Linked DNA regions of Tamandua tetradactyla. The protein of the gene in region 1 purifies or fractionates together with the protein of each later gene. This does not show direct contact. Links are inferred from orthologs where the notes say so. Each region holds a gene or a part of one and is shown on either strand. Other genes may lie near its edges. The genes, in order: SF3B1, SON, PRPF3 and SNRPB.

Evidence for each region.
Region 2: the proteins of SF3B1 (region 1) and SON purify together in Homo sapiens (co-immunoprecipitation; 3 studies listed by BioGRID and IntAct, with this or other methods). This does not show direct contact. The link is inferred for Tamandua tetradactyla from reciprocal best matches to the Homo sapiens genes SF3B1 and SON.
Region 3: the proteins of SF3B1 (region 1) and PRPF3 purify together in Homo sapiens (co-immunoprecipitation; 3 studies listed by BioGRID and IntAct, with this or other methods). This does not show direct contact. The link is inferred for Tamandua tetradactyla from reciprocal best matches to the Homo sapiens genes SF3B1 and PRPF3.
Region 4: the proteins of SF3B1 (region 1) and SNRPB purify together in Homo sapiens (co-immunoprecipitation; 4 studies listed by BioGRID and IntAct, with this or other methods). This does not show direct contact. The link is inferred for Tamandua tetradactyla from reciprocal best matches to the Homo sapiens genes SF3B1 and SNRPB.

What each region holds. Positions count from the first base shown.
Region 1 is NC_135329.1:171,669,635-171,677,415, forward strand, and holds the start of SF3B1 (splicing factor 3B subunit 1), read right to left. Parts: upstream 3,010-7,781; 5' UTR 2,862-3,009; coding exon 2,834-2,861; intron 1-2,833. UniProt on the Homo sapiens protein: Component of the 17S U2 SnRNP complex of the spliceosome, a large ribonucleoprotein complex that removes introns from transcribed pre-mRNAs.
Region 2 is NC_135336.1:93,913,218-93,920,823, reverse strand, and holds the start of SON (protein SON), read right to left. Parts: upstream 3,007-7,606; 5' UTR 2,926-3,006; coding exon 2,849-2,925; intron 1-2,848. UniProt on the Homo sapiens protein: RNA-binding protein that acts as a mRNA splicing cofactor by promoting efficient splicing of transcripts that possess weak splice sites.
Region 3 is NC_135330.1:5,492,101-5,499,595, forward strand, and holds the start of PRPF3 (U4/U6 small nuclear ribonucleoprotein Prp3), read right to left. Parts: upstream 3,006-7,495; 5' UTR 2,898-3,005; intron 2,882-2,897; exon of another isoform or gene 2,775-2,881; intron 566-2,774; 5' UTR 518-565; coding exon 373-517; intron 1-372. UniProt on the Homo sapiens protein: Plays a role in pre-mRNA splicing as component of the U4/U6-U5 tri-snRNP complex that is involved in spliceosome assembly, and as component of the precatalytic spliceosome (spliceosome B complex).
Region 4 is NC_135327.1:24,251,612-24,258,589, forward strand, and holds the start of SNRPB (small nuclear ribonucleoprotein-associated proteins B and B'), read right to left. Parts: upstream 3,007-6,978; 5' UTR 2,867-3,006; coding exon 2,864-2,866; intron 496-2,863; coding exon 344-495; intron 1-343. UniProt on the Homo sapiens protein: Plays a role in pre-mRNA splicing as a core component of the spliceosomal U1, U2, U4 and U5 small nuclear ribonucleoproteins (snRNPs), the building blocks of the spliceosome.

The DNA.
Region 1 (7,781 bases):
AAAGTTATCAATTTGGCTCAGTTAAGTAATAGCCTATGAAAAGAGCCATGTACAAAGGCAAAAAATAATCTACTTGAAGTTACACACATTATTTATCTCACAGGATGAAAGTAAAAACTACTGTTGCAGCCACAGCTTTAAAAACAAATTACAAGGCACAACAATAAAATTGTTTTTACAATACATCCATATTATGTAGGATGAAAAGATTATACAATCTTCCTTTAAAAGGCAACATTATGGACAACTCTAAAACAAAAATTTAAACAAGTATTTTTTTAAAGTTGCTTTCTAAAATCCTTCTATCATAGTCGCGTTTAAGTCCAAGTCCTCCTCCTCTCAGTAGCCTTAAGATAGTTGCTCCAACTCCCTCTACATCATCCTTCATACAACCAGTTACCTTCCAAAAACACAAAAGTAAGCAGTTACACGGGAATGGGGACTGGCAAGGAGGGATACAGCACTTTATTTAACGGTCACTGGGAGGCCAGACTCAAACAAAGCCCATATGCTAACCTAACATTTGACACTAACCTAACCTTTCTTACTCTCAGATTAAGAGGTTCCCAATACATGTCTAAATTCAGCTTTCCCCCTATCTCAGCCAAACCAATGTGTCTGCCCCTTTCCCATGAAACTATCTTAATAATTACAGTACAAATCTCTAAATATATTTTGGTTTAATATCTGAGCACTCCTTTTATACTAGATACTTGGGATACTAGGGTAAGGTTCCTGTACACAATCTGAGTCAAATGGAAGAGAAAAACTTAACCCAACAGAATATTCAAATATAATTAAAGATACATACTGAGTGCTATGGTAGGACAAATAATTCAAAAATTAATTCTACTCAATGTTATCTGAGATGGCTTAACAAGTGAAAACAGAAATGGACTATGAACTAGAGTTCTCCAGGAAAATATGAAGGGAGCACGAAGTTAAATAAAGACTATGCTTTGCTATTAAAAACCCCTTTGTCTTAAACATAGCTACTTCCTCTATTAGACTGCAAGCTCCTAGAAGGTAGAAGACACATCTTTATTTTTTTATATTCCACAGTGACAGGCAATGCCTTATACATAAACAGTACTCAAACGTTAAACTGAATGTTCCATACTTTCTTTGTGGCATCAGATAATTCACATTTTATAGAAAGAATATTCCTAAAAAAGGAATTTTGGTCAGTGAGTTACAATCTTTCATGGACCAAGACTTTTAGGCGGTTTTCTAAATTGCAGGAAAGCTGGCTAGAACTTTATCAATCTTCATGCCTAAGGGTTATCTTACCATGAAGATACCAATATACAAGTAATAAAAGCCACAAAATGCCCCAACTGTATAATCTATTCTTGAATGAACAAAAATCATTTTTATATTTTCCAGTATCTTACAAAAGATATGTTTTTTTAAAGACAAGAGAAATACCTATAAACATGTCTGTACTACAGCAGTGTTTAAATCCTAAATAACAAGAATAGTAAGCATTCATTAGTATGTTTCTTAAGTTGCAGAGAGCTGGACTTCGTTTCCTTGTAGTAGCCCAACAACTGAATGCTATTTACATACTGGACCCAACTTACCTATCCAGATTCATCTTCTATTTCTCTGTTGCACTCTACTTTTCCTGGCATAGCAGACTACTCAAAACACGGTTACCCATCAGGACAGTGCCTTGTTACAAAATGTTCTGAGGCTCAGATGGCCACCCTAATATAAAACTGATTGATCTTCCCAAGACTACGGACAAATAACCATAAGCATAAACTTTTCATTCCGTTCTGTAGATTCCCCAGACTACTTGTACTTCTCGTTAAGCATTCACTTGGTCTCATAAACAGAATGTACATGGATACACGTCTCTTTCCCCCACTGGACTGTAAAACAGTTGATGGTCGTAGTCTTCAACTCTCACAAACTAACAACACCAAGCCACACATCTAAAAACAGAGTGTGAAATAAAAGTGACTCTCTTGGAAGAGTGAAAATACCAGATTCCACGTAAAAAATCAAGGAATGCAGCTCCAACTTCCCACGTCTTTTCTGAAAAGGAACCCCATTTCCTATAATATCTGTACCTGCTCTTAGTACTCACTAACAGACTCCTGCCTATTAGCAACATGTTCCTAATTTCATATACTCCGTATTCCATAAATCAACTAGTTTGAAAGCTTCGATCATCAATAAAATTAAAAGCGACTTTCTCTTGTTCCTCTAGCTCCGCAAACACGAATTTCCAAAGAAAAAGACCAATAATACACTAAAAGTGAACAAGGGGAAAGTACTATCATTATTTCATTCCCAAATCACTTCGTACAAAAAAAAACAAGCAAGTAGCCTAGAAGCCTGCAGATACACATACTATCCAAGGTTAAGAGTAATGGGCCTTGGTTTAACCAAACCCAATTTAATACTGCTATAAAAGAGGTTGCCATTTTTCAATGTCTTTCTGACTCTTCCTATGTATAAATTGCGCTGACAGCACTTCCAAACGGCGAGACTCCCAGGCCCATTTCCCGGATCCCCTCTTGCCCTAGAATCCTCTTTAGTAGACCGTTTAAACGAGGCCCACTGGTCAAAGAGGAGAAGCAACGCTCCAGGAGCAGCACCCTAACACGGAACAAAGCGCTTGTCTGGAATGTTTAAGTAGGACGCCATTACACAGAGCAGAGGCCTGCATCGCTGGAGGCGACCTAGGCCACAAACCGCAGACTCGGCCTCCTACTAAAAACAAACACACACGCATACACAGGAAAAGGCAGAAACCTAGGAAGACAGACTGTTAGCAGTCTAGGTAGCGGAAGAAGTCCGTTAGCAAGCAAAGATGGCTTACCTTCGTGAGTCTTGGCGATCTTCGCCATTTTGTCCACTCCAACACACAGACGGAACTGGCGCTCCCAAGAACTTCCGCTCGTCGCCGCACCCACGGAGAAAAATAGCTGGGAGTTACTTTCTGCGCAGGCGCCAAACGGGAGCGCGCTCGGTTGGGTGACACGTGATAGAGCAGCCGCCTGCAGGGAGCAGCGAGGCGCATTGTGGGTGTGGGAGGGGCCAAGGGTGGGCCCTGAAGCGGGTCTATTGTGACCCGCAATCGTAATTGAGTAATTTTGTCCTAGGAGAAAGTGCCTTCCGCAAAGCAGTTAAGAATATTGTACGGAATATTATGGTGGATCTTTCTCCAATTCAGTAGAAGGCGTCTTGGAGACCGAGAAAAGCTTTCTTTAGCATTTGTCTCAGCTTTTTCGAGTAATTACTTATGGAGACGATCATAAGTCTTATTCTTCGCGATATAATTTAAGACCATTTTTTTTCCTTTTTTTTTTTTTTTAAATAATTGCCTCTCGTTTGGGTAGCAGTTCCGTTACAACATAAGCTCCCAAATTACTGAACCTCAAAAACAGAGCAGTCAAGTAGGCAAATTGTCGCTAAACCCACTTAAGAAATGAGAGAAAAACTAGAGTTACAAAATAGCAGTTGTGCACCACCATACAATTTCTAAGTTGCAGGCAAGAACCTTAAAACGCTTTTAAAGCCTTTTAACTTTATGGGTTCTTAGAAAAACTTTGATAGTCATTGTTAACAACGTTGAAATGCTTCTTTAAATTTTAAACGTCCTTTCTAAATCAGCAACTTTTATAGATCATCTTATAGCGATCTTTTTTTTCTACTGTGACTGAATGTAACAGTATAACCTCGTATTGTCACGCTGACCTTGGACTTCAGGGTTGGAGAAGCAGAGCTCAGAAGGGAAGCTGAGTCTCTGGAAGCAGGCTGGTAAAATAAGTAGGGATCCAGATTAGAGCTAACACAGAGGAAACAGTTTACCTCACTGTATAAGAGATTCAAACTTCAGTTTAAAAAAAAGGGATTTTTATTAATATCAATGTAAAAATTAAGTTTATGGATTGAAAATTTTCAGTTATTTAATTTTCATTGATTATTAGGTTAAACAATAGTTGGGAGAGGCAGACGAGTGAGATAAGAGCATGTGTATAATTTATACAAATTATTGGTAAAATTCCAAGTTCTTGAGTTGACAGAATGATCTGTGAATATTCATTATATTATTATGCTCTATGACCTATTCGTAGATTACATATATCATTTTGTATATGTAAAGTAGTATATTTTTAAATAATAAAAAATAAATGAAAAATTGGAGAAAGGGTTATTATCCATCAAAAATCAGCAAACAAATAATTCATCCATGTTAACAAAAAAGAATCACAAGAACATTGCATTGCTCATGTTTCTAAAAAAGAAATTTGTTAATGCTGGACGACTTCAGACGTGTAAAAATATATATGCAACAGAAATTTACCACACTATATTAACAGATAGGTGTTTATGAATGGTGGGATCATGGCTAATTTTTTTCTTTATAAAATTTAGGGCTTTTCCCATAAGCATTTATTATTTTTATAATCAGAAAAAAAGTGTTAACAAAATGAAAAGCTGCTATAACGTGGATATCCCATGTCCTTCCTTATCTTTCCAAGGTAGAGAGAAGCTGAGTTTACTGGCACTTTGTATTATGTGCATATTTCTCTGGGTTCTTAAATTTTAAGATGCTTCTGTATGGTAAAGACATATATAAGATAGTAAAATTTGAAAAACTTTGCCAATGATCAAGGGAGACTTCTCTGGAGGACACTCTAATTTTTGACACTCTAATTTATCTTCAATGACATAGCGAACTGAACATTCAGATAGTAAGGAACAAGTTAAGTTTGTTTTTCAAGTCTTTTCACTTTCCATTTTTAAAATAATATTAATATATAATAATCAGATATTACGCACAGTGGGTTGTCTCCTCTGGTGAGATTTTTTTTGTTTACAAGTCAGAGAGAGTGATCTAGCCCTCCTTTTTATAACTTTATAACTTTAACAATTAACAGATGACATCTGTGCTCGTTTGAAACTATTAGGTACCCCAGAAAAGCTGTTTTAATTCTGATCCAATCTTGTCAGACCTATTGTTTAGTATGGGAAACTTTGAATTGTTTCCATGGAGATGTGACATGCCAGTTTGGGTGTGGCCTTTTGAATAGATGGAGATGTGACTCCACCCATTCAAGGTGGGTCTTGATTAGTTTACTAGAGTCCTTTAAAAGGGAAAACATTTTGGAGAAATCTAAGATGCAGATTCTTGAAGAATATTTGCTTCAGAGCTGACACAGCCAGAGATCTTTTGAGATGCTTAGATGCTGACAGAGAGAGCAGATGCCTAGCCACCGGAAGAGCCCAGCAGATTTCCCCACATGCCTTCCCACAAGATGCTAAGCAGGCCAGAACCAGAGTTGTGTCCCGGAGGAGCTAAGTGAAGGCCCACACAGGCTTAGAGAGGAAACCACTGGCATCAGAAGCCAGAAGCAACAGAACCAGAAGCAACAGAACCAGAACAAGGACCAGCAGATGCCAGCCACGTGCCTTTCCGGCTGACAGAAGTATTCCGGACCCACTGGCCTTTCTTAAGTATTCTTAAGAAAGAATTCTTAAGTATTCTCTCTCAAAAGAGAGAGAGAGCTACAGAAGCAAGAACGTGAAATCAATAAAACTCAAAAGAGAAGGAAGAGACTAACAGATATTGCCATGTGGCAGAGGAGCCAAGGATCACCAGCAGCTGGTCTTCATAAAGAAAACATTACCTTAATGATACCTTGATTTAGACAAGTTTCCAAACCCTAACCATAAGCAAATAAATTCATTTAAGCCAAACCATTTTATGATATCTACTTAAAGCAGCTTAGGAAACCAAAATAGCAAATATCCATTTGAGTTCATTCTTTTGATTCTTTGGGGTATATACCTAGAAGAGAAATTGCTGGATCATGTGGTAATTCTATACTTAACTTTCTGAGGAACCACGAAATTGTCCTTCACTACAGCTACAACATTTTGTGTTCCCATGAATGACTGGGTCTTCCTATTTCTCTGAATCCTCTCTAATACTTGTAATTTTCCATGTTTTTAAAAATAGTAGCCATTCTAGTGAGTGTGGAATGGTATCTCATCATAGTTTTGATTTGCCTTTCCCTAATGGCTAATAACGTTGAACATATTTTCATGTGCTTTTTGGCCGTTAATGTATCTTCTTGGAGAAATGTCTATTCAAGTCTTTAGCCCATTTTTTTAAACTGAGTTGTCTTTTTGTTGTTGAGTTGTAGGATTTCTGTATATAGTCTGATATTAAACTCTCATCAGATATGTGGTTTCCAAATATTTTCTTCCATTGTGTAGGTTGTTATTTTGCTCTCATGATGAAGTCCTTAGAAGCACTAAAGTTTTTATTTTGGTGAGTTCCCATTTACTTATTTGTTTTGTTGTTCATGCTTTGGGTATAAAGTCCAAGAAACCATTGACTAACACAAGCTGCTAAAGAGGATCCCTCTGTTTTCCTCTAGCTGTTTTATAGTTCTAGTTTTTATATTCAGGTCTTTGATCCACTATTTTTTTATTACAGAAGTTTTGGGTTTATAGAGTAATCATGAATAAAATATAGAATTCCCATATGTGCTGGTTTGAAACGATTATGTACCCCAGAAAAGCCATGTTCTTTTTTCTAATTCAGTCTTGTGGGGGCAGACCTATTGTCTGGGTGGGATCTATTTGATTAAGTTATTTCTATGGAAATGAGACCCACTCAGTTGTGGGTGGGGCCTTAATCCACTTATTGGAGTCCTTTAAGAGGGAAGCATTTTGGGGGAAAAATTTCAGAGCTGACACAGACAGAGATGTACACAGAAGAGATGTTTGCAGATGCAGAAAGAAAACACCCCCAGGGGAGCTGTTTGAAATCAGAAGCCACCATCAAATGGCAGCCACATGCCTTCTCAGCTGACAGAAGTGTTCCAGATGTGATCAGCCTTTCTTGAGTCAAGGTATCTTTCTCTAGATGCCTTAGTTTGGACATTTTTATGGCCTTAGAACTATAATTTGTAACTTAATAAACTCCTTTTGTAAAAGCCAACCCATTTTTGGTATATTGTTTCCCAGAAGCATAAGCAAAGTAAAACACCATATCTTCCCTACAGTTAACACTTTGCACTGATATGGTATATTTGTTACAATTGTGAAAGTATATTTTTATAGTCATACTATTAACTATAGTCCATGGTTTAACTTAGGGTTCACTATTTGTATAATGCAGTTTCAAGGATTTTTAAAACATTTTGACCTATTACCATACATAACCTAATATTTCTCCATTTGTCCACATTAAGATATATATTTCAGCATTGTTAATTATGTTCACAATGTTGTATTACCATCCTACCATTCATTACCAAAACACTTCCATCATTCAAGATAGGAACTCTGTACATTTTAAGTTTTAAATCCCTGTGCCAGTTTGAATCTGTGGAGGACACCAGAAAAGCCTTGTTCTTTAATCCTCATTCAATATTGCTGACTTGGAGCTTTTGATTGTTCCCATGGAGATGTGACTCACCCAATTGTGGGTGGTAACTTTTGATTAGAGAGAGATGTGACTCCACCCATTCCAGGTGGGCCGTGACTAGATTTTTTAAAAGAGGAAACATTTTAGAGACCGTCCCTTTTTTAGAGCCAGAAAAATGATGAGAGCCAGAGCCCACACCACCAAAGACCTTTGGAGATAAAGAAGGAACACATCCCTGGGGGAGCTTTATGAAATAAGAAGCCTGAAGAGAAAGCTAGCAGATGCCATGTTCACCATGTGCCTTTCCAATTGAGAGAGAAACTCTGAACTTCATCAGCCTTTCTTGAGTGAAGGTAACCTCTTCCTGGTGCCTTAATTTGGA
Region 2 (7,606 bases), on another chromosome or scaffold:
TTAAGAAAAAGTAATTTAAAAAGTTTCTAGGTTCACCTATTTTTTTAAATACAAAACCCCTAGAAATCTACACTGAGGCTTTTGGTTTACCTGTCTATTTCTATCAAGGGAGAAAAATTATTAAAAGCCAAATCAAAAGTTCAAAGAAAAATATTAACTTTTGAACATCACACTAAAAACTATCACAACAATAAAGCCACACCTGTGCATGAATCACAATCACCACCAACATCATGAAACACAAAGTTGGTCATGGGCACACTGAGTAAAAAGGGTGACTTACTTACAGTCTTTGGTTAGGTTTAAACTGTTTCTGAAATGCCAGGAAGTTTAAAAAGAAAAATAAATACATTTAACTTTCACCCAATTATCAAAAATCCTGGCATTAAAAAAATAATAATGGTGTTTAAAAGTCACATAAAACAAATGACGATTAATTAGACTAACAGCAAATGGGTTTATGTTTTCAATCTAAGGGCCAAAGGGCATTTTGCCCTAAGAATATGCCATTTACCTAGCCATTTTTACCATTTGTGTAAATTTACACAATTGTGAAAAATCAAATAGTTTCAACACTTTCAATATTTATTTAACTTCAATTTTAGTTAAAAATAAAACAATTATGCTTCTATACCTGACAAAAGTCCTGAATCAAAAAATACAAAATATCAGTAGGTAATTAGATGTTAAGGAACATTTGGTTTTCCAAAATAATAAATCATGTAATAATAATAATTAACATTTACTGACTGCTAAGTAGGATGTATCTCGCTGTTCTACATTTTTAAACTCATTTAACCCTAACAAACCTCGAAGACCAGCATTCTCCTGATGTGAGAAATGAAGAAAATGAGAGGAGAAATTTGACCAAAGGTCACACGACTTTCAAAGGTGAAGTTGGTATTCAAAACCAGGGCTGACTCTTAGCCACTGTCTCTCTAGAATAATAACAGAGCATATCTGAAGTATCTTCATGTCAGTCTCATTACCTACAGGATGCATGTAAAAGCAGATGGAGTGGGGGACCCAGTGAAATGGCAAATAATCCAAAATTCGTTTTTAGACTGATAATGCAATACATGTTGTTTGAGTGGAAACTGCATATTCCTCTAATAACAAAATGCTTTCTTTCTTCCCGAATCACTTAATTTCACACTATGCCCAAGTATTTATACGCAATTACCAGGATCTAAAAATCAGAGAACGCAACACTTAAACAAACAAAAAAAAATAGGATGGGGTCAGTCTATACGGAAATAACCATGACAGTGTCAAAGAGAAAGATACCAGGATGTTAACTGCAATTACTTTGAACTCATGAAAATCTTGAACAACTAAATACCCAACAATATATCCCTACAACACAATTCTATGCAGTGATGAAAAATGTTGCAAAATACTGAGACTGTGATAAAGGAGAAACTTGTTCACAATTCACTAGATGAAAAACCCACAATTCAAGATGATGGGACTTCTCAAAACAAATATATCTTTATATATATGGAAAGGAAAAAATGAAAGAACAGAAATAACTATGCGATTTTCACTTTCTCATTTGTTTTCTCAATTTTCTACAATAAAACACATTCCAATAGAAAAACTGACTTTTTTAAAACTACAAAAACGACCAATTAAACTAAGGAAACACAAGGACTTATTGTATGCTACTATAAAAAGTTATTGAAATTCTATTTCCTTAGGTCCTCTTCTCTCCTCATCCTAAGAATACCACTTAAGACGCAGTGTTATGAATAGACACATTTTCACTTTAAAAACAATATAATTCTGCAAAAATAAAAACAGCCTCAATAATCCTAAATTCATCTGGGCACTTAATTTACAGTTACGTTTTTGGCCGATTTTCAAATTCACATACTGCTCTTGTTCTCAACCTTAGAAATATAATTAGCAAAAATACACTCAGAACAACTATTCAAGATCTTTCCACAACTATACTTTGAAAAAATAAGTATTTTATACAAAGCGAAAGTATTAAAAGACAACCACTGAACATGACCCACGCTGTTTTCCTCTCTGAATAAACAACCACTTCTCTGGAAATCGCTTACCCTTCAAATTTCGTGAAACCAAGTGCAATTAAAGTCTAAACGGCAATTGCAAAGCACCGCGTAGGTCAAATATGTCAACAAGAATGGAGTAGTAAGAAAAACTAAATCTACACACAAAACCTGCCTGCAATTCGCTAAAATTTAAGAAATTACTGGTATTTCAAAGTCCCCTAACCACCCTCGTCCCGGATATTTTGACAAAATAGCTAACGAACTAATCTGAGCTATTTTAATGTAGATCTCTATCCCCTGTTGCCTGGTGGAAGCCACAGGACACTAAGGTCCGTATAACCTAACTAGTGCATCCCGGCCCCTAAACGGTCCGAAGCTTGAAATAATAACGTGGATTTAAGATAAACCAAAAAACGGCCGTTAGAGACCCTTTCCGGTCCTAGACACCGGCTGGCGAAATCGGCGGAGAGGGGGAGGGGAAACGCGGCAGCGGAGGAGGAGCTGAGAAAAAAACTAGGCCCGTCCCTAGTGGACAACCCGGCCTCCAAGTTGCTAAAGGGTAAGGGATGACCAACCCAAAGAGAAGAGCGAACATCTTAACAGGGCTCTCGACGAAGGAGTCTAAGGATACCTAAGAAAGGGTGAAGTTCCCCGCGGGAAAAGGAGAGACGGGATGGGGGGGCGGCGGAAAATGGATCCCAGGCCCAGGCGGGGCCGTAGCGGCGCCTGAGCAGACGAACGACGGCGTCTCTGAAGAAAGGTGCCGTGAAAAGCTACATCGGGCCCTAGCGGTCCCTTTGGAACAGAAAAGTCTGGGAAGCGTTTACCTGGACAGCTCCTGTTGAATTTCCCGGAATTTACTGACCACGAAAGACCTAAAGATCTGCTCGATGTTGGTCGCCATGGCGTCCGCTCCGTTCTCTCAACTCCTCCTCGCTAGTCCTCCAGGCTCCCAGCATGCCTCGGGAAGCGGCGCAGCGGCCAGTTCCGTCTCTCGCCCCTCTGATTGGCTCCTGTGGGAGCGTCCAGACGGGCGCGCTCCGACGCAGAGCCAATGAACGAGCACGGCTCCGCTCTCCTCCACTGTTTCTGAGCGGCTGGGGTAGAGCTGCTGACGTTTGCGCCGCGCACGATCGCGTCCGCCATGTTAGTGTCTGACGCAGGCGCCATTACAGGAGAAGCCTGTTTTGAGGCGAATGTGTCGGCTGAGGTTGTCAGTCCCATTATTCTTTAGTGGGCTTAATAGGCCTCGTGTAGCGACTGAACGCCCGAAATTTATGGCAGTGAAATGGAGGAACAAAAAGCAATACAGTGTTCTTGACAAAGGGCCTCCAAGCGTCACGGGGGCGCCAAGTTCAGTTCTGTCAGAAGGATACATCCGGGAAAGAACTACTCAGCCCCCACCCCCCTGAAGCATGATTAGAACGTGTTTTTACCCCGACTCTCTCTCGTTGCATGCTATAATCGGCCTCAATTTCTTAGCAATAGGGCAGAGGTCCTGAGCTACCTGTTTTTAGAGTCTGATACATTCCAGCCTCGTTAGGAGTCAGTGTGACGAGACTTCGCGGTAACTGGGCAGTCCAGACTCTCGATAGCAACATACAGTGAGCTACTCATTGGTTTAGCGTTCAGGAGGTTTCCCCTCCTCAGACCTCAGGAGGCACTCGGAGAGGAATGGAGACGTTACGTGGCACTCAATGTTACAGTATTACATGATAAGCCTGTGATGGCTTGGTGGCATTGGTCAGAGCTTAGGCCGCGCCCGAGGGAGGGGACCACACTTGATTACCTTGCACTGGGGACCCTGGGCCTGGCCGACCAAGAGGGGCGAGGCGGGGCGGGGGAGCGCGCGGGGCGGATCCTGCTCCGCCAACTTCCGCCACGGCGTGCGCCCGGGCTCAGCACGCCGGCGAGTGTGCGAGGCGGCAGCGCGGGACGTTTTTGTGTCGGTGCGTAAGCTCACTCCGTTTTTAGGTAAACTGCACTTGTGCTTTGATTTGGAAATTTACTATTAAGAAGTGAAGCTGTAGAAACTGGCTTGGCTGTAGACGTTTTCATCATTTTAAAACGCATTGTTAAAAAAATGCATTGGGTGGGTCTGGCCATGTGCTTTTCACTTATTACTATTAACAGAGGTTTACATTTGATCTATCACTTTTCCTACTTTCTGCGATGTGAGGGCTTTATCTTTTTGTGTCTTTATGCTTTTTTTAGGCCATAAGAGTAAGTTGATGTTTTTTGCCGTATTTCCCCGTTATGTACACTAGTGATTATTTACTCTACCTATGTAATTGGTTTCTTCTTTGTAATATTTGTCAGATCCTATGCAATAACTTCCTAGCTCTCTTACTCTTCTCTTCTAGTAAGTTTCTATTTTAGATATAAGGTGACTGAGACTCAAGAATCTTGCTTATTTAAGTCACTCACGTCTCCCAGGTAGGAAGGGGCAGAAGTTCAACCCAAATCGAGGTATATACCCTTGACTCTGGAATCAGGCTGTTTCAGTGACCAACTTTTTAGTAACTAGCAAAGTTTTCCTTCACTGCATCTCTCATTTAAACTAAATATGATATTTTATCTAGATTTAAATACATGTTTATTTCAGATGTCTTATTATATGTGGCAAGTGAAATGTCAATGTTTTCCATTAAACTAAAATTACTTTTCTCTCCTTCTGAAACTATAATATAGAATTTTTCTTCCTCAAATTTTCAGTGGTCACCATCTCAGTTGTTAGAGCATCTGAAGCAAAATTGCTTAAATTTCCTGAATGAGTCTAGAAATCGTGTTAAATGAAACAAGCCATACACTCAAAAAACAGACGTTGTATGGTTGCACTTACATGAAATATCTAGAATTTGCCAATTCATAAAGACAGGAAGTAGATTTGAGGTTACCAGGGGAATGTGGAGTTTCTGTTTTGGGTGACAACAAACTTCTGATAATGTATGATGGTTATGGTAGCATAAAATTTTAAGTGTAATTAGTGCCGCAGGTTCTACACTTAAAATTGGTTAAAATGGAAAATATTATGTTAACTATATTACCACAATAAAAATGTTTTTAAACTTTGCTTCAGTTGGTTTCCAGGCTTCAATCCTTAATTTGTGTGTCCTCTATAGATTACTTACCCTCACTGAACCTCGCAGTTCCTCATCTGTAGAATGAAGATGCTAATGGTTACCTCATATAAACCTTGTGAAATTGACGTGAGGTAATTCATGAAAAGCATTTATAATAGTGCCTGACACGTGGTAAATGCACACAAGAAAATATTAGTTTTTATAGTATCAACTTAGATTTTTCTGTAGATATATAATTTTAGCATATCATAGTAAGTTGATTTCAGTTTTCTGTTTTTCTGATATGAATTTGCCTTCTGCATAATTAAATGGCTTCAGAAAAAATACAGTGCCACAATTCTGTGTTGCTGAGTGCCAGAGATTATACTAATTTGATTATACATGTCATTTCAATTAAATCCTTATATAGCATTGTAAGGCAAGTTGTCGTAATTGCTGTCCTTTAAGATGTGAGGAAACAATTACAGATAGAGCTTAGCCAGTGTCACTCCCTGGAGTAGAGAAGGGAGCGTTCATGTCCATTCTGGGCAGATAACTGAAGTGAAAGGGGTTCAAATTTGATTTTTGCCTTCTCTGCCAATTTCCTAACATATAGCACTAATTTCTTAAATCATGGGTCAGCAAACTATGACTCAGGTGAGAAGTCCTGTCCACCAACCTTTTTGTACAGCCGTCAAGCTCAAAATGGTTTTTACATCTTTAAATGATTAGAAGAAAAGAATGTTGATTTTAATGACACATGAAATTCAAATTTCAGAGTCCATAAGTAAAGTTTTATTGAAACAGTCTTGATTATTCGTTTTTAATTTCTGATGGCTTCCCATTGCTTAGAGCCAGAATAGGTAAACTACAACCTCATTTTGGCTTGCCTGTTTATGTAGAATTAAGTTCTAGGGGAGCATAGCCATGCTTGTTCATTTACTTAAGGCTAAGACTACTTTTATGATACCATAGTAGAGTTGAGTAGTTGAACAAAGACCTTACAGCCCCTAAACCTGAAAATATTCACTACTGGCCCTTTGCAGAAAAAGTTTGCCTACTCCAGTCTTAAATATTTTTCTGTCAATGATAACTATTGGAAGATTTCGAGGGTTAAAAATGGTTTTTAAATTTTGTGTCTAAAATATCAACATTTGTTTTTCTAAACTGTGGCTTGATGATTATTAAATTTTCTAAAATTGAATCCCGAAGAAGTAAGATTGTTCTTAGGTAAGGAGGTAAAACCCCATTTCACTCCCTAACTTAAGTTCGTTAGGCCAGTCTATCTCATTTTTAAAATACTTCCTTTGCAGTTGTTAGTACTGTCATTTATCTCACCTCCCAATTTTTTATTCAAAAATGAATCTCTGGACTAAAATGTCATTTTTGTGAGTACAAACTACTACTTAACATCAGATTTAGAAATTTTATGATTTCTAAAGTGTGTGCATTCTGAATGTTAGCTCTGGTTTTCTTTCTGCAGTTTTCATTTGCCTTTTGAATTCCTGCTTTGCAGACAGCCATGTCAGCCCGTGTGCTGATAATTGGCAGTGGAGGAAGGGAACATACACTGGCCTGGAAACTTGCACAGTCTCACCACGTCAAGCAAGTGTTGGTCGCCCCAGGAAATGCAGGCACTTCGTGCTCTGGAAAGATTTCAAATACTGGTAACATGTTTTAAAGTGGGAAGTAACTGTTATTTGCTAACGATAAACTGATAACCATATCCAGGTTGCTGTTCAAGTTCTTCGTTTTGTCTGAATTGCTTTTCTAAACTCAGAATTTATGTGGTCATTTGAATACTTCCCTATAGTAGAAATGAGGTGTCCTATTCTAAATGCTACATTTCCTTATCTGAAATTATTTTAGGCCTATGCCTTATAAAATATATCCACTGAGAAATTAATAAGTGCCTAATATAGATTAAAAACATGTTGATGTATATTTCGATCACATCATTAATGCAGAGATGGACAGTGCTGTCAAATGTAAGTCCTGGCAATTGTAACTCCATAATAGATCTCAGCCTTTGTTTCTTCTGCTGGAAAAATGATCAGTTCATGTATTACCCTAAACTCTTGAGTAGCTTCCCTTAGCCCTTAGAATAAAACCCTAATTCCTTTGGTTCCATACAAAGCCTTTTGGGATCTGGCTTCGGCCTGCCTTTGTAGCCTGATCGTTTATGTCCTTTTTTTTTCTTTTCACTGTGCTCGATCCCTACTGTCAAGCCAATTTCCCCAACAGAGCTGCGTTGGACTGGCATCTGTTCCTACCCACTGGCATGGTTAATGCCTCATTATTCAAGTCGCAACTTAAATATTACCTTCTTAAGGAGGCCTTTCCTAAAGTTTCCAACTAAACAAGTCTCCACCCCATTTCATTGGTTTTCCTTCCTGAACCACTGTCTGTATTTATTTTTACTATTTGTTTTCTTACTTGTTTCCTATCTCCCATTTCCCCATGAGAATGTAAGCTGCATGAGGACAGAACTACCTCTCTTATTTTGCTTTGTGTCCACAGTGC
Region 3 (7,495 bases), on another chromosome or scaffold:
AGTAGGAAAATTACCATTAAAATCTACCTCCCTCAACTTTCTTCATGCATTTCATAAAGACTTCTAAATGTTTAGATGTCAATCTGACACTATATTAATATATTTATCTAACTTTAGTATATTTCCTAAGTAAATATAACTTAGGGAGTCAGTCTGAGTTTCAAAATATACCAAAAATAATATATAGAAAGTAAGCAAAAGAACAAAAGCAAAATTAGTTATTCAGGCTATTTCAATATAAAGCAGGAGGGAATAAAATGTGGCCCGACCTTTTTTCAGATGATCCCAACAGAGAGAATTTTGGTTATGTTAGAAGCAATGTTTAAAGGGTCATCCTAAATGTTAGGTCAAAAGATTCAGAAAGGTACATACCAGCTGCCTTCTTCTTATCCATGCCCTTTCCCACACAGTTCAATGCTGCTGTGACCACTGTGGGCTCTGAGAAACCCAGCACCCTCTTCACTGTCTTCTCTATCCATGGTTTCAGCTCATCCAGCTCCCTCTTAGACAGTGCCATTCTTTGGGAAAAGTAGAAGGATAGATAAAATAGAACTTGATACTGCACCTAAAAACAAATCAGGAGAGTGGTTAAGACAGAAGATAGGAAAAAGTTAAAGTGACCCAGAGCAATGATTAATACATCAGGAAAGCCTTTCCCACCCATATTCTCAATCCTTAAGGAGGTTCCTCCAGTTTATTCAAAGTAAAATACTTTCCCCAAGAACCACACTTCAAAGCAGAACTAGATTCCATTTGATTATTATTTTTTTTTTTTGGCACGGGCAGGCACCAGGAACCGAACCCGGGTCTCTGGCATGGCAGGCAAGAATTCTGCCACTAAGCCACCATCACACCACTCTCCATTTGATTTTTAAACCTAACTCAGTAATTACCAGTGGATCAATGAACTCTGTGAAAGAAGTCAACCAACCCTGGGAATAATCTGGTCTAAGAAATGAGTTCTAGCTTTGTTTCCAATCTTGTCTTATCAACAAGGCCTGGCAAACGTATAACATGAAAACTAAACTGACAGACTCTATCCTGAAGTCAGCTTTTCTATTTCTTCTACTTCCGGGGATGCATTCCCTAACCCAATCCTGACCCATTAAAAGTTTTCTTTCTCTTAAGGGATGTCAATAAGCATTCCTTAAGAAATGACAAGCAAGTCATTTGGTACTAAAGCTCATAATCCTTAAGAACGTTCTGTCTCATTTCTCTGTAGTTATATTCATCCCTGTGGGAATTCTGTACCCAGATAACCAGTTCTCTCTCACGTTCTCTGACTTGATAAGAGTAATCCATCAGCTCAGAAAAGAACACCTTCATTCTGGATATACTCTGACCTTCTCCCTTTTCACTTCTATTTTTTAGCTCAGCAGAGAAACACTATGATAAAGGACTCTCAATAAAAAATCTTTGTATTTGTTATTTAATGCTAATTAGTGTTACTTTAAAACATTATTCATGTTTACATGTTGGTTTATCTAAATCTCAAAACTTCTCATGGGCATAAACAACATTTTATTTCTCTGATTTTTCTCTATAGTGCCTAAAAGAATAAATCACACTGATCTCAATTTCCAAACTAAACTCCTCCCAGCAGTACCATATATCTGGGAGTCAATCTTTCAAGATGTTTCAAGACATCTTTTCTCCTAAAAGACAGAGTCTGATTAATTTCCACATCCTTGGCAGGTTTACCCTCTGTAAGACCTATTGTCAAATAGTGAATTTAATTTTGGTATAAATAAATAAAGCTAGTAGAATAAAAGAACGAAAGTAAAGTTGAAGGTTGTATTAAAAACTGACTATGTTTCTCACTGACAAGTTAAATAAATAATTTATGGTGCTAAGTGAAAAAGCCCTACTGTCCCCAAATGAAACAGGCTTATCAATCTCTACATGTTAAATATCCATTACTCTAAATAGGCGTATTCAGGACTATAGTGGGTACACAACTCTGGCAACAAGAGCTCAAACAGGATAGAAATAAAACTAAAGAATTTGGACATCACCCTGCCCTTTACCAGCAACCTTGTGCAAGTTAATGAATAAAGCTAATTAATTTCTCTGAGCCTCAGTTTACTCCTAAACTGAAAACTGCCATATCTACAATGCACTTAATTCATTCAATAAATATTCATTGAGCAAGTACTATCAATCAGTGTAGTAGGCACTGAAGATACAAACAGCAGTAAATAAAACAGACAAGAATCCTCACCCTAACGGGGCATACAGTCCGCTAGAACTGAATCATGGACGAGAAAGTGGAAGCAATTTGAAAACACAAAGCAATAAACGAGGTACCATCATGGGTGCCCAAGCACTATACTAACAAACGCATTCAAGTTTAAACCGATCTTTCTTAAGATAATGTACAAATGAAACAGCTAGTGGACAAAAATTAAAATATTCAAATAGTAACTAGCTTTGTCACGAGTCAAATATCCAACAATAACTGCGTGGTGGTGGGGGGAGGGTGGAAGAAGGAGGAAGGCAGAATGATATCTGAATGGGCAGGCTGCAGAATTCAATCTTCCGAAAGAATTCCTTACTCCGTGCTCTTCTTTGCTAGAATCCGAGTGACCCCCCGGAAATCCTCATTCTTCTATTTTTACTCTCTCCTCTTCTGGCTTTAACTCCAGCCGACAACCACCAACCCCCCTTTTCCTTCCCAAACTCCTCACCTCATTACTAGTCTCCCACCCCATCCCCACCCCGCCCCCGCCCTGTTCCTCTCAACAATCCCATTTCAACCCCTTCTCCCACGGAACCTTAAACTTCTTCCAGCCTCCTTCCCATTGAACCCTCCCGTTACGACAGTCCCAGTGACCAAGCCCCGGCCCCAGTCGCTCCGACCGCAGGTTGCCACCTCTGGGCCCTGGGCTACAACTCACCTCACAAACTTCAGCCCCTGAGACGGAGCCCGAACGTTACACCGGAACCGGAAGCCCTCGGACCGCCTTACGGCCCGCCGTCCTTGCCGCCACGGCCGCCGCCACGCCGGCCCCCAGCACGTGACGAGGGAGGGGCGGGACTGTGGGTTCGCGCAGCCGTAGTCGCCACGTTCCTGCTGGTGTCCCTCATGTGTAGAGGGGTCCGAAAGGTCCTGCGTTCAAGTTCCCCGCGGTTTGTTTTCCCGGCTAGAGAAATATTAAGCAAATTGCTACAAAAAAGTTGGTGTTCCCCGAAGCGGAAATTGGGTTGCTAGCAGTTTTCCTCACGTAGAGAATAAGTGCGATAAACTGCAAGTGGAGCTTCTGCGTTCGAGCTCAAACACGGCCTTTCTGGTAAAAAGTAAAACCCTGTAGAATAAGTAGCCATTACTGGCATTTGCCACCCCACCCCTCCCTCAGCCTTCGCTCCCTAACTTAAGAGTAATCACAGAAATCACCCAGGAAGAAAAAGAGTATAGGAGAACTTTGGAGAAAATAGCCCACACCTCGCCCCACCCCCAGCTTGCCTTTTCGTTGATTCATTTATTGACGGAACAAATACTTATTCACCGCCTACCACCACGTGCCTTGCACCCTGTGAGAGTTAAGTATTGCTTAGCGACTTAGTAAGAGCACACGTTCTAAAACCGGACTGCCTGGACTTGAACTCCAGCTCTCCCACAACTGTGTGACATTAGGCAACTCGAGCCTTCTTTTTCCCCTCTCCTCACCTGTAAAATAAGATACTTTGAAAAATCCAAACGAGAGCCATTGATTGCACACTTGGATGGGTTGTATGGTGTGTGAATAAAACTTGGGGAAAAAAATCATAGGGCTGCTCGGGGGATCACATTCGTGGATAAGGGTAATATAGTTTAAAAAGTGCCTTCCGCAGTTCAATAAACGGTAGCTACAAGCCGTGAAACAAAACAGTATATCCAGTAGCCTGCATAAATATATAACAGATGTCTTAACTTTACCACCAAAACTGAGCTCCTGATTCTAACCCCCCATCCCCACCTACTTCCTCATCTTGGTTAATGACAATTTCATCCCTCTAGTGATGCAGGCCAGTAACCTTGGAGAGATCATGGAACCCTGTTTCTCTCCAATCCATCAGCAAATTCCACTGGCACTACCTTCAAAGTATGTACAGATCCACCTGCTTCTCATTACCTCCACTACTACAGTATTAGTCCCTGGATTAATATTGTAGGCTCTGAATCCCTTTCTCTTGCTTCTACAGCACAGTGATCATATTTACACATCAGAGAGATCTTATTACTCCCCTATTTAAAAACCATCCTGTGGTTTTCCATTGTCTCTAGTAAAATGCCCTAGAAGATCTGCCTCACTCCTTACCTCTATTATTGCTCTTCCCTTCACTCATTCAGCTTCAGAGTTCTGACCATTTTGCTGCCCCTTGAACTGCTAAGCATAATCTCACCTCAAGGCCTTTGTACTTGTTGCTTTCTTCCTAGAGTGCTCTTCAGGTGCCTACATGGTTTGCTTCCTCATCTTCAGAATTTTAGTCAAATGTTACTATTACTATATAATTTACTTATTGTTTATTGCTCATTGTTTGACTCCCTCTACTAGAATGCAAACTCCATTAGGGCAGGGATCTTTGTTTTGTTCAGTGATATATCCTAAATGTCCACCATAGCACCTGACACAATTAAGTACCTAATAATTATTTGTTGAATTAAAGGATGAATCTTTTCCAGCAATGTCTTGCTTGCCTCAGCGCCTGCTGAAGTTTGGTTTTTGCTTTCTAAAGGACGGAAGTTCCTTCAGGGCAAGAACTGTTTCATATTGTCTTAGGATCTAGAATAGTGCCAGACCCAACAAGTATTCAATTAATGAGTTAGACATGGCAATGGCAGTATTGCTTTCCACATTTTATCAGGAAGTTTGTATTCTTCCCTTTCTTCCAAACAGAGCTCTGATCCTCTAAATCTCTGATATCAAAAAGCATGTTTGCAGGCAAAGTATAGTTTGAAAAAGTGTGTCCAAAGTTATGACACAGTTTCATATGAGAAATGGGGAAAAAATCAGTTATGTTTTAGATTACAAATGACAAAAACCAAAATTCCATGATGTCTTCTTGGAATAGTAGTTTCGCCGGAAAATTAGTATTTCCCAGGAAGCATGGAATTTCTACATCAAATGACTGGTTTTAAACAGTTGAAGAAATACATGCCAAAACCCACCTTCACTGATAAGAAGGCACGATACAATGGGATAAAACCCAAGTCCCAGCTTTGCAGGGTTGTAATGAATCTTTAATTTTGTTTCAGTGCTCTTAACAGTCTGGGTTCAATTCCCCATAAGGAAAAGTTTTGTGGAAATTGATTTTATTTACAATTTTTGGAATCAAGATGGTTTTAAACCCTTAGTTTCCCAATTGTTCCCAATCACTAGCAGTGATTTCTTGGGGTAATTTTTATAAGACTGTTTCCTCAATCATACAATGAGAATACTATTTTCACTGTAAAAGAGTACTGTGAGGATTAAATATCACATAAAAGATACATGTAGTACAATGCCTGACACATAGTAGGATTCAATAAATCATTGCTAATTTTTTATATACTTTCAAGAAACATTGAGCATCTAAATGGGCATTATACTAGGTAATGGGACTAGAGAGGTAAAAAAGATGAAGATGCAGCCTCTGGGGAACTGAAAGTTAATAGAAGGAGAAAAACAAGAAATAAAGCACAGTATAGCATGATTATAGAAATAAACTGTTATTCTAGAAGTAAACTTATCAAGATACATAGAAGGACACCTGGTAGAGGGATCAGGGAAGGCATCTCGGAGAACATCCAAACCAAAAGTTGATATACAGGGGAAAAGGAGAAAACAGTATATGCCATGATCCCAAAGTGTGTTTGAAAGGGACAAATGGAGAGAGAGAAAAGCTGGGTTCAATCATGAAGGGCCTTAAAATCCCCTTTGGATTTTATCTTGAAAGCAATGGGGAACCAATTACCAGCTTAAGCATGAAAGTGACAAGAGCAGTGTTACAGTTTAGAATAATCATTCTGGCCAAAGTGTGAAAGGAATGGAACCAGACAATGAGGTAGGGGACTGATCAAATGGCAGTTGTAAATATATAGAAAAGTTGTGGTGGTAGCTGGGATCAGGGTTTTGGCATGCGGTCATAAAGCACCAGAGAGGACTGCGATTAAATGGATGCTAGGGATTGAGTGAGGAGGAATAAAAGATCAGCTTTCTGATTGGCACAGCTGAGAGATTAATTGCTAAAATTTATTGAATTCTTACTGTGTGAGATACTATAATAAGTACTTGACAGACATCATCTCATTTAAGCCTCACCACAAACCTGTAGGTACCACTATCTCCATTTTACAGGAAAATCAAGGACTTATGTTAAATAACTTGACAAGATCACTGTTGAATCCAGATCTTTTTGACTATTAAAAGATTATGTATGACCTGAGACTCAAGAGCTCTGAAGCTAAGAAAGTCAGCAGTACCCCATACAGGGACTGTTTAAAAAGTTGAAAAAGGGATCAGACTTTGAGTAGAGATATGAAGGAAGCTATCTGGACAGGATTAAAGTAGAGCAGAATACAGGGTAAAGGATGAGATCATCCATATTTTAAAACTTCAGGTTCTGTGTGAGACCAAAGGGAGAAATGTTTATTTAGTACAAAATTTAAATTTTTGGTAGCACATTATAATTTAACATGTATGGTCAATTTAGTTGAACACCATGCATACATGGAATCTTGAATAGGGCGTGAGATTTTTTTTTTTTTTTTTTTTTTTTTTTTTAAAGAGAGAGGGAGGAAAGGAAGGAAAGATGGAAGGAAGGAAAGGAGGAAGAAAGGGAAACATTTTTAAACATTTTCTTGTTTTATTATATTTTGTTTGTTTGTTAGTTTTTTACATGGGCTGGGGCCGGGAATCGAACCGGGGTCCTCCGGCACGGCAGGCAAGCACTCTTGCCCGCTGAGCCACCGCGGCCCGCCCCAGGGCGTGAGATTTTGTTGGTTTGTCCGGGTTAGTGTGATGCCCCAATATATCCCAGAGTAATTTGGGCAGTGAATAAAGAAGTATTTGCAAAGTCTCCTTGGGGCACTGGGGAGAAAGGGGGAAATATTCAACTTTCTGATTTGGAGAATTTCTGATATTCTCGCAAGCAATGGGGACAACTAAATCGATAGGCCGAGCTCTCGATTTTGGGATTCACCCTTATGAAACATTCCTTCAAAGGATAGGCTAAGCTTACTTAAAATTAGGTCTAAGAGTCACTCCCAGAGGTTCCATGAACTAGGGTAACTTTCCGGAAACTTACAACCTCCAGATGGGTCCCCGGACCAGATAAGTCCTGAAACCTAGAGGGCCCAGCCTCTCCAGAGCATCAGCTAGTTCTATCTCCCTACCCCATATTAGTGACAGCCCCTTCCAACATGAAAGAGTTAGAATGGCCGTAGCCCAAATATCTCTAAAGATGGGATAGAAAGATCAAAGATGATGGTGGTTGTTCTAGTTTGCTAGCTGCCGGAATGCAACACACCAGAGAC
Region 4 (6,978 bases), on another chromosome or scaffold:
TTACAAATAGGCAATGAGGCCAGAAAATCAAGCTCTCCCCCCTTACACACCTGTAGGGAGAACACGACAGCCCTTTACCCCAGTACTCAGGGGCATACAAGGTCAGAGAAACAAAAACCTAGCAGCCCTCCTCACAACTTTTATTTTGCTAGACTAGAACTCAGGCTTGCTGGGCGCTAAGGAAGGAGATTTCTTAGTGTCCAATAACCCCATTTAAGTCTGCCCTCTAAAATGTGAACGCAGGAAGAGAGGAACTGGCAAGTTATAGCAGCACCTGTCACTTGGCCCACCCATCCAATGTCCTCCGCCTCAACCTCCCCCTGCCCCACAGCCCCCTCCTTACTTGATCTTCCTGAACTCATCACAGTCACAGAGAATCAAGTTCATATGCTTGTCAAAAGCCTTGAAGGTGCCAATGAAGATGCGGCCATCTTGTAGGATGCACCTCATCCTGTAGTCGATGTGCTGCAGCATCTTGCTGCTCTTGCCCACAGTCTGCAGGGAGAAATCAATGGGGATGAGATTCAAGCTCTTTTCCACCCATTTGGTCCTGGTCCTTCCTGAAGCTGGGTCAGGCCTTCTTTTCTATGCACCTATGTTTCTCAATAGATTCTCAGCTGCCAGCTACTCATAGACCTTTCCCTGAATTCTCCCATCTTACCCCCGTTTTCAGCCCTGACCTATGCCCACTGCTTTGCTATTCTCCCCTCAAAGTTAATCTTTCTCATACTGCATTATTGTTATCAGAGTTTCAGGAGTTAGAGTACAGGATTGCCCAAACCAATCAAATCTACTCATCATGAGATTAATAATCTGCCACTGTGCAGATTATAGACTTGACCCAAGTGCTATGGAACACCCATATGATTAAAAAGACAGAGAGGGCAGTGTAACAGTGGCTCAGTGGCAGAATTCTTGCCTACCATGCTAGAGGCACGGGTGCAATTCCTGGAACCTGCCCATCCAGAAAAAAAAAAAAAAAGAGTAAAGAGTTGGAATAGGACTGGTGATAAAAAGGCTGAAATCCAATCAACAAGAAACTTATCACTAAGGAGTTCATCAGCGTGGAGGTTAGGAGTATGAAATCCCCAAGTGCTTCTGAGAGAGGGAAATTTTCTGGTAGCCAAAGCACTAATCTATTTGAGCACATAATGACCTTTGAGAATATGTAACTTGCTACACTTTATTTCTAAATTAACCCAACAAATTTCTGCTTTTTAACGTGACCTCCAGATTTCTTTCAAGAAACAAATGACCTGGTATTTGATCTGGGTATCTGTCTCCCATCAGTCTGATGTGGGGCAAGTCTGAAGTCATCCTATTTATTGGGTGTCTTCTTGTCGTGGGCACTGTGCTTGCTGTTTACCTGAACCCACACCAGGACAACGTCCTGAACCTTCTTACAAATGCATGGTTCAGAGCCTTGACTCCACCAAGGTACTGTGCCACCTGGGAGACCCCTGGTTATATGGGTCTGTCTCCCATACATAACCTTTTCAACTGGTTCTAATCACAAGGAGCTAAACCTTTATGGAAACATTCACCAGCCTTCTAACAGTTAATTCTTATTGGGTGTTCACTGTGTATTACATGCTTGATAAGCACTAAATATCTGTCAATTTATTTAATCCTCAAAATGATCCCCTTATTGTTTCTACTTTACAGATGAGGCCATCGAGGCTAGGAGAGGTTATGGTAACTTGCCTTGTCTCACAGCTGGGAAGCTGTTAGAACCCAGTCGGCCTGAATCCAGTGATTATTCATTTAACCAACTCTCCAAACAGTAACCGAGCAGGTTTCCCTGCTTCCAAATCTCACCCAATACAAAACAGCTAGAGTAATCTTTCTAAACACAGAGTCTAGTCATTTTGCTAGTTAAAATCCTTCAATGACATGCCCATCACCAACAGAATAAAGCAGCACGAAGGCCTTTAGTAACCAGGCTCCTTCCACGTCCTCCAGTCTCATCTTCTACCTCTTCCTTCCTTTTCCTCCTCCCCTCTCCCGCCCCGCCCCAACCCCCAGTAACTTTTAACTATGCTACCCTACATGCCTTTGCTCTTGCAATTCCCAGTCTATATAGTATTTCCTTCCATCTTCTGCTGGAAAAGATTCTGACAAATCTTTTAGGACTCTGCTCAGGAATCATCCATTCCCGAAAGCATTCTTACCCCGCATCAACCTGCGCCGTTACTTTTGCCTAACGCTGAACTAGTTACACTGTGTTATGATTATTTATTATCCGTGTCCCCAAGGATATGCGAACTCGGTGACACATTTCAATTTGTAGCCCCAGAACCTGAGAAGTCAGACACTCAGTACAGATATACTAAATAAGTGAGTTGAACTCCTCCAAATAATCTCATTCACTCTCCCGTTCCCTCTTCCCCATCCACGTCTCCCGGGAAGTATCTTTTGTTTCGGGCCACAACTCCCCGCCCTACCCCACACCGGACGCCGCAACTCGGTCTCCGCCCCTCACCCTCTTTCACAAGTCTGAGCCTTTTCCGCGGTCCTCCCTGGCCCACCTCCGGCTCCTGGTGCCGGCGCCGAAAGCCCGGACATATACTTATGCAGCAAGTTTACTTAGTGGCTACCAAGTCCCAGGCACTGTAGCTATAGCGGTTTCGGGAGAAGCGGTTACACGCTCCCCCCCACCCTGCATTCCTGGGTTCCAACTTTCCACTCCCCACCACGCCGAACTGCAGGCTCCAGGTCGCCTCTACCCGGTCCCAGCGGCCGCGGCTCGGGCCTTCACCGCCATTAGCAGATCCAACCCATGACTTCTTCCCCCCGCGCAGCCGCGGCCCTCACTCCAATACAGACTCGGAGACTCTCGCGCCGCCGGCCCGCGCCCCCTCACCATGGTGGCGGTTCCCGATGGTCCCGATTCCCGCCGGATTGGCCTCTGCAGAGGCCTAGACGCCCGACAGCGATCCGATTCCCGCCGCCGCTACAGGAAATGGAGCCGTTACTAAAATGCGGCCGGGTAGAAATGCACTTCCGGTCCCGGTACCAGGTGGCTGAGTTCCGGCTCCCGTGCTGCGCCGCGCGTTCCGGACGGGGGCGGGGCTTCAAGCTTTGGACTTCTCGGAGAACCTTTGAGAAGTTCCTGTTCGATCTGCCTTCCCCTTCTCTTTACGTAATAGATTCTTCCTACCTCTCCCTTCTCCAGACACACCTTCTCTGCCTTTTCCGTGAATTTGCTTCACGTTCTCTTGCCTTTACATTTGCTGTTGCGGCTGCCAGGGATGCTCATCCCACAGGCCTAGTAGGGGGCATGTACGTCAGCACATGCCCAAACATCCTTCACGCTTAAGCTCAAAGAAAATTTTGTCAGTAAGGACTTCCTGGGCCAACCTGTTTAAAAATACCTTTCCACCCATCACCTCTGCCTTATTTTTCTCCTTAGCATTTATTGCCATCTAACATACTATATATTTTTGTTACTTAGCTTACCCACCCCCATTAGAACATAAGCTCTGTGAGGGTAGGGGGTTTCTTTGTGTATTGTTCTCTTTGGCAGTGCCTAGAGCACTGCTTAGCACAAAATAAGAGCTCAATAACTGTTGTTGAATGAATGACTCTCATGCAGTCCCAAGACTGATGACTTTCAAGTGTATTCCTCTAACGCTGGTCCCTTCATTTAACTTTGGGTCTTTTATATCCAGCCTCTTGTTTGATATGGATGCCTAATATGGATATTAAGTTTAAAATTTTGAAAATTGAATTCTTAATTCTATCCTCTCTTCCTAGAATTAAGAATTCTAATTCTTAATTCTTACATGCCTCCCATCTCACAAGAGGCAACACCACCATTCACACAATTGCTTAGGTTAAAAAATCAAAATGACAAACTTGAAAGCATCTTTGACTCCTCTCTTTCTCTCCCACCTCATAATCAGTCCATCAGCAAATCCTGTGAGCTCTGTCTTCGAAATGTCTTGCATCTGACTCTCCTCACTCCCTCCACTGCTACCGCCACAGCCCTAGCCATTATCATCAATCTTGGATCGCTGAATGAGCCCCCCTAACTGGTCTCTCTGCTTTCACAGCAGCCTCAGGAATCCTTCTATGATAAACTGGGATTCTATCAGATTATTTCATTGCCCTGCTCTCCACTTCCAAATGACTTCCCAGTACATGTGCAATGAAATCCTGCTGCCTTGCTCTACAACTTCATCTCCTTCCACTTTCCCCTCATTTATCAAGCTCCAGCCACACTGGTCTCCCTGCTGTTCCTCAAACCCAGCAAGGAAATCTTGAGTCTCAGGGGCTTTGCCCTCCCCCTCCCACCTCAGATATTCCCATTGCTGGGGTCTTCACTTCCTTCAGGTCTCTGCTCACACCTCCTCAGAGAGCCTTTCCCTACCTTTTCCCTTGTCCTGCTTTATTTTTCTTTCAACACTTACCACTCTGTTACTTTATACACTTATTTATTTGGTTTATTGTCTGTCTTTCTCACTAGAAGATAAGCTCCATGAGGGCGGAGGCTTTATATCCCAATAACATTACCTGGCCTTAGCATATGCTAAGTAAATATTTTTGAATGCATGCATGGATGCATGTCTTCTAACACAGGGTGACTTCTGGGCAAGAGAACAGCTAAAGAGCCAGAAGGGCCTAGATTCCAGATCTGACTCTGCCACCTCGTGGCTGTGAAACCTTGGGCAAGACATTTCATCTCTGAGCCTTTATCTCTTCATCTACAGGTTGACAGACACAAGAAAACAACATGCCTCCCACAGAAGGTGTGAGAGTTAAATGCTCAGAAGAGTGCCTGGCAATAGCATGTATTTGGCAAAATAGCTCTTAATAGTAACTCAGAGGTCCCTGTATTGGCACTCAGTGTTTTTGACCCGTATTCCAGGTAGGGGTGAGTGTGTATGTGTGTTTTCAGCTTAACTTGGATACCAAGATACCACCGTGATTCACTTTTATACTCAGTCCCTAGCACAATTTCTGGTCCATAGGAGACAGCAGTAAATCCTACTGAATGTATGATATTTAGTCAAATGGTGGCTGCTTAGGAGATAGAAAGTGAAAATGATGGGTTGCAGTATAGTCTGGGACAACAGAATTAAACGTTTAGCAAATAGCCTAGTAGTTAAAGCATGGGCTCAGTGCTGGGTGACCTTACGTGTGTTAATTAACATCTTTATGCTTATGTAAAATGAAGATAATATTACCAACTTGACAGGCAATACTGGAAGGATGAAATGAGAGAATGCAATTAAGAAACCTAGTGCCATGTCTGGCATGGAGAAAGCATTCAATTAACCATTAGCTACTACTATGAAATTGTTGTCTATTGCTGTATAGCAACTTCCCCTTCCCAAACTGGTGCCTTAAAACAAAATTATATCTTATGATCCTGTGGTTGAATAGTGAGTCTTCTGTTGCTCTTACCTGGGGACACTCATGTGACTATTTGGCAGATTGACTGGAGCTGGATAATCCTAGTAGCCTCACCCACATCTGGTGTTTGGTGCTAACTATCAGTTGAACCTCTCTCTCCAGATGGCCTCTCATTCTCCAGCAGTGAGACGGTCCAGGCATCCTCACATGATGGTCTCAGGGCAGCAAGAGAGGCCTAGCCTCAGAAATTCTGCAACATCTGCCACTTCTTATGATAAAATCAGATTCCAAAGCCAGACCAGTTACAATGGAAAAATACTCCAGGTCTTGATAGGAAGAGCATCTGGGATGGGAGAGATTGGTACCACCATCTTTGCAAACCAAAAAGAAATTTAAAATAATTATAAAAACTTGCACTCTCACACAGTAATGTTAAGTAGTGGGATTTGAGTTCAGATTGGCATGTTTCCAGGTTCTTCTGCTGGCCTACTTGAAGGGGCAGTGGTTTTTAACAGTAATTTCCAAGGAGTAGAGGGGAGATACAGACAGGTCCTAGGTGGGCATATTCAAGTTTGGGAATGGGTCTGTAGATGGGTCTTGTATTTGGTTTAAAAAGGTTCCTTATATATCTCTTTGAGTGGTAAAGAAATAGCTGACAGTTTCAGCTAACCTCAGATAAGGGAATTCTCAGAACCAAAGCTGGTGTCAATTTATGCATTACTTCTGTGTGGGAGAAGTGAAAAGATTGAGAATGGCTATTCTCCAAAGCAATTTGCTGTATTAAAATTAAAGAATAAGGTACAGGGCTACATAAAAACACTCTAAACACAATGAGAATATGGATTTTATCCCATATATATATATTATGCATATTGGAAGGAAGAGGAACTAAAAAAGCACAGTATGACATTTACTAACAGAAAAAGACTATACTGTGAAAGAATCTTGCGCTTGCCAAGAATCCTGTTTTCTTTTAGGAAAAAAATGGATACAAAACTTATATATGCTTATTTTGCATATATAAGAAAAATATGCACCAATATTTAAATTTAGGTTAGAGCTGAATCACCATACCTGATTCCACAACCACTTGATGTCAGATTGTTCACGATTATTGTCTCCCTTCCCCACATCTGCTCTGTGACCCTCAGATGGCTCTCAAAAGGGCTCATTACACAAGGTATCAGCCTTGCTACCCTCCAGTAGAAGTATTTTGACAAGCTCTTTTGTCAGGTCCCCACACCATTGAGATCACTAAATCAAACATTTCCATACTAAAATTGACATTAATTTTTCACAATCCACGGCTGCTTTTCAGAAAACCCAGCAAAATCATAATGATAAAGACAATTCTGAAACTAAAGGTGAGGAAGAATGATGGTGAGCTCTGAGTGAAAGGTCACAGCTCAAAGAAGGGGACAGGGTATCAGGATGGTCAAATGAAAAGGCTAAGAAGGGGTAGGCCCAGAGACTTTTTTGGAGTGGAACGAGTGATGAGATCAGGAAGAATACATGAAACTACTTGAGTTTGAACTCCCCAGTTCTCCAAACCAATTGGTTCTCCTAACCAATCTGGCTGGGTCCTCTCTTACTAGGTCTTGTCCAGATGCCACAGGCATT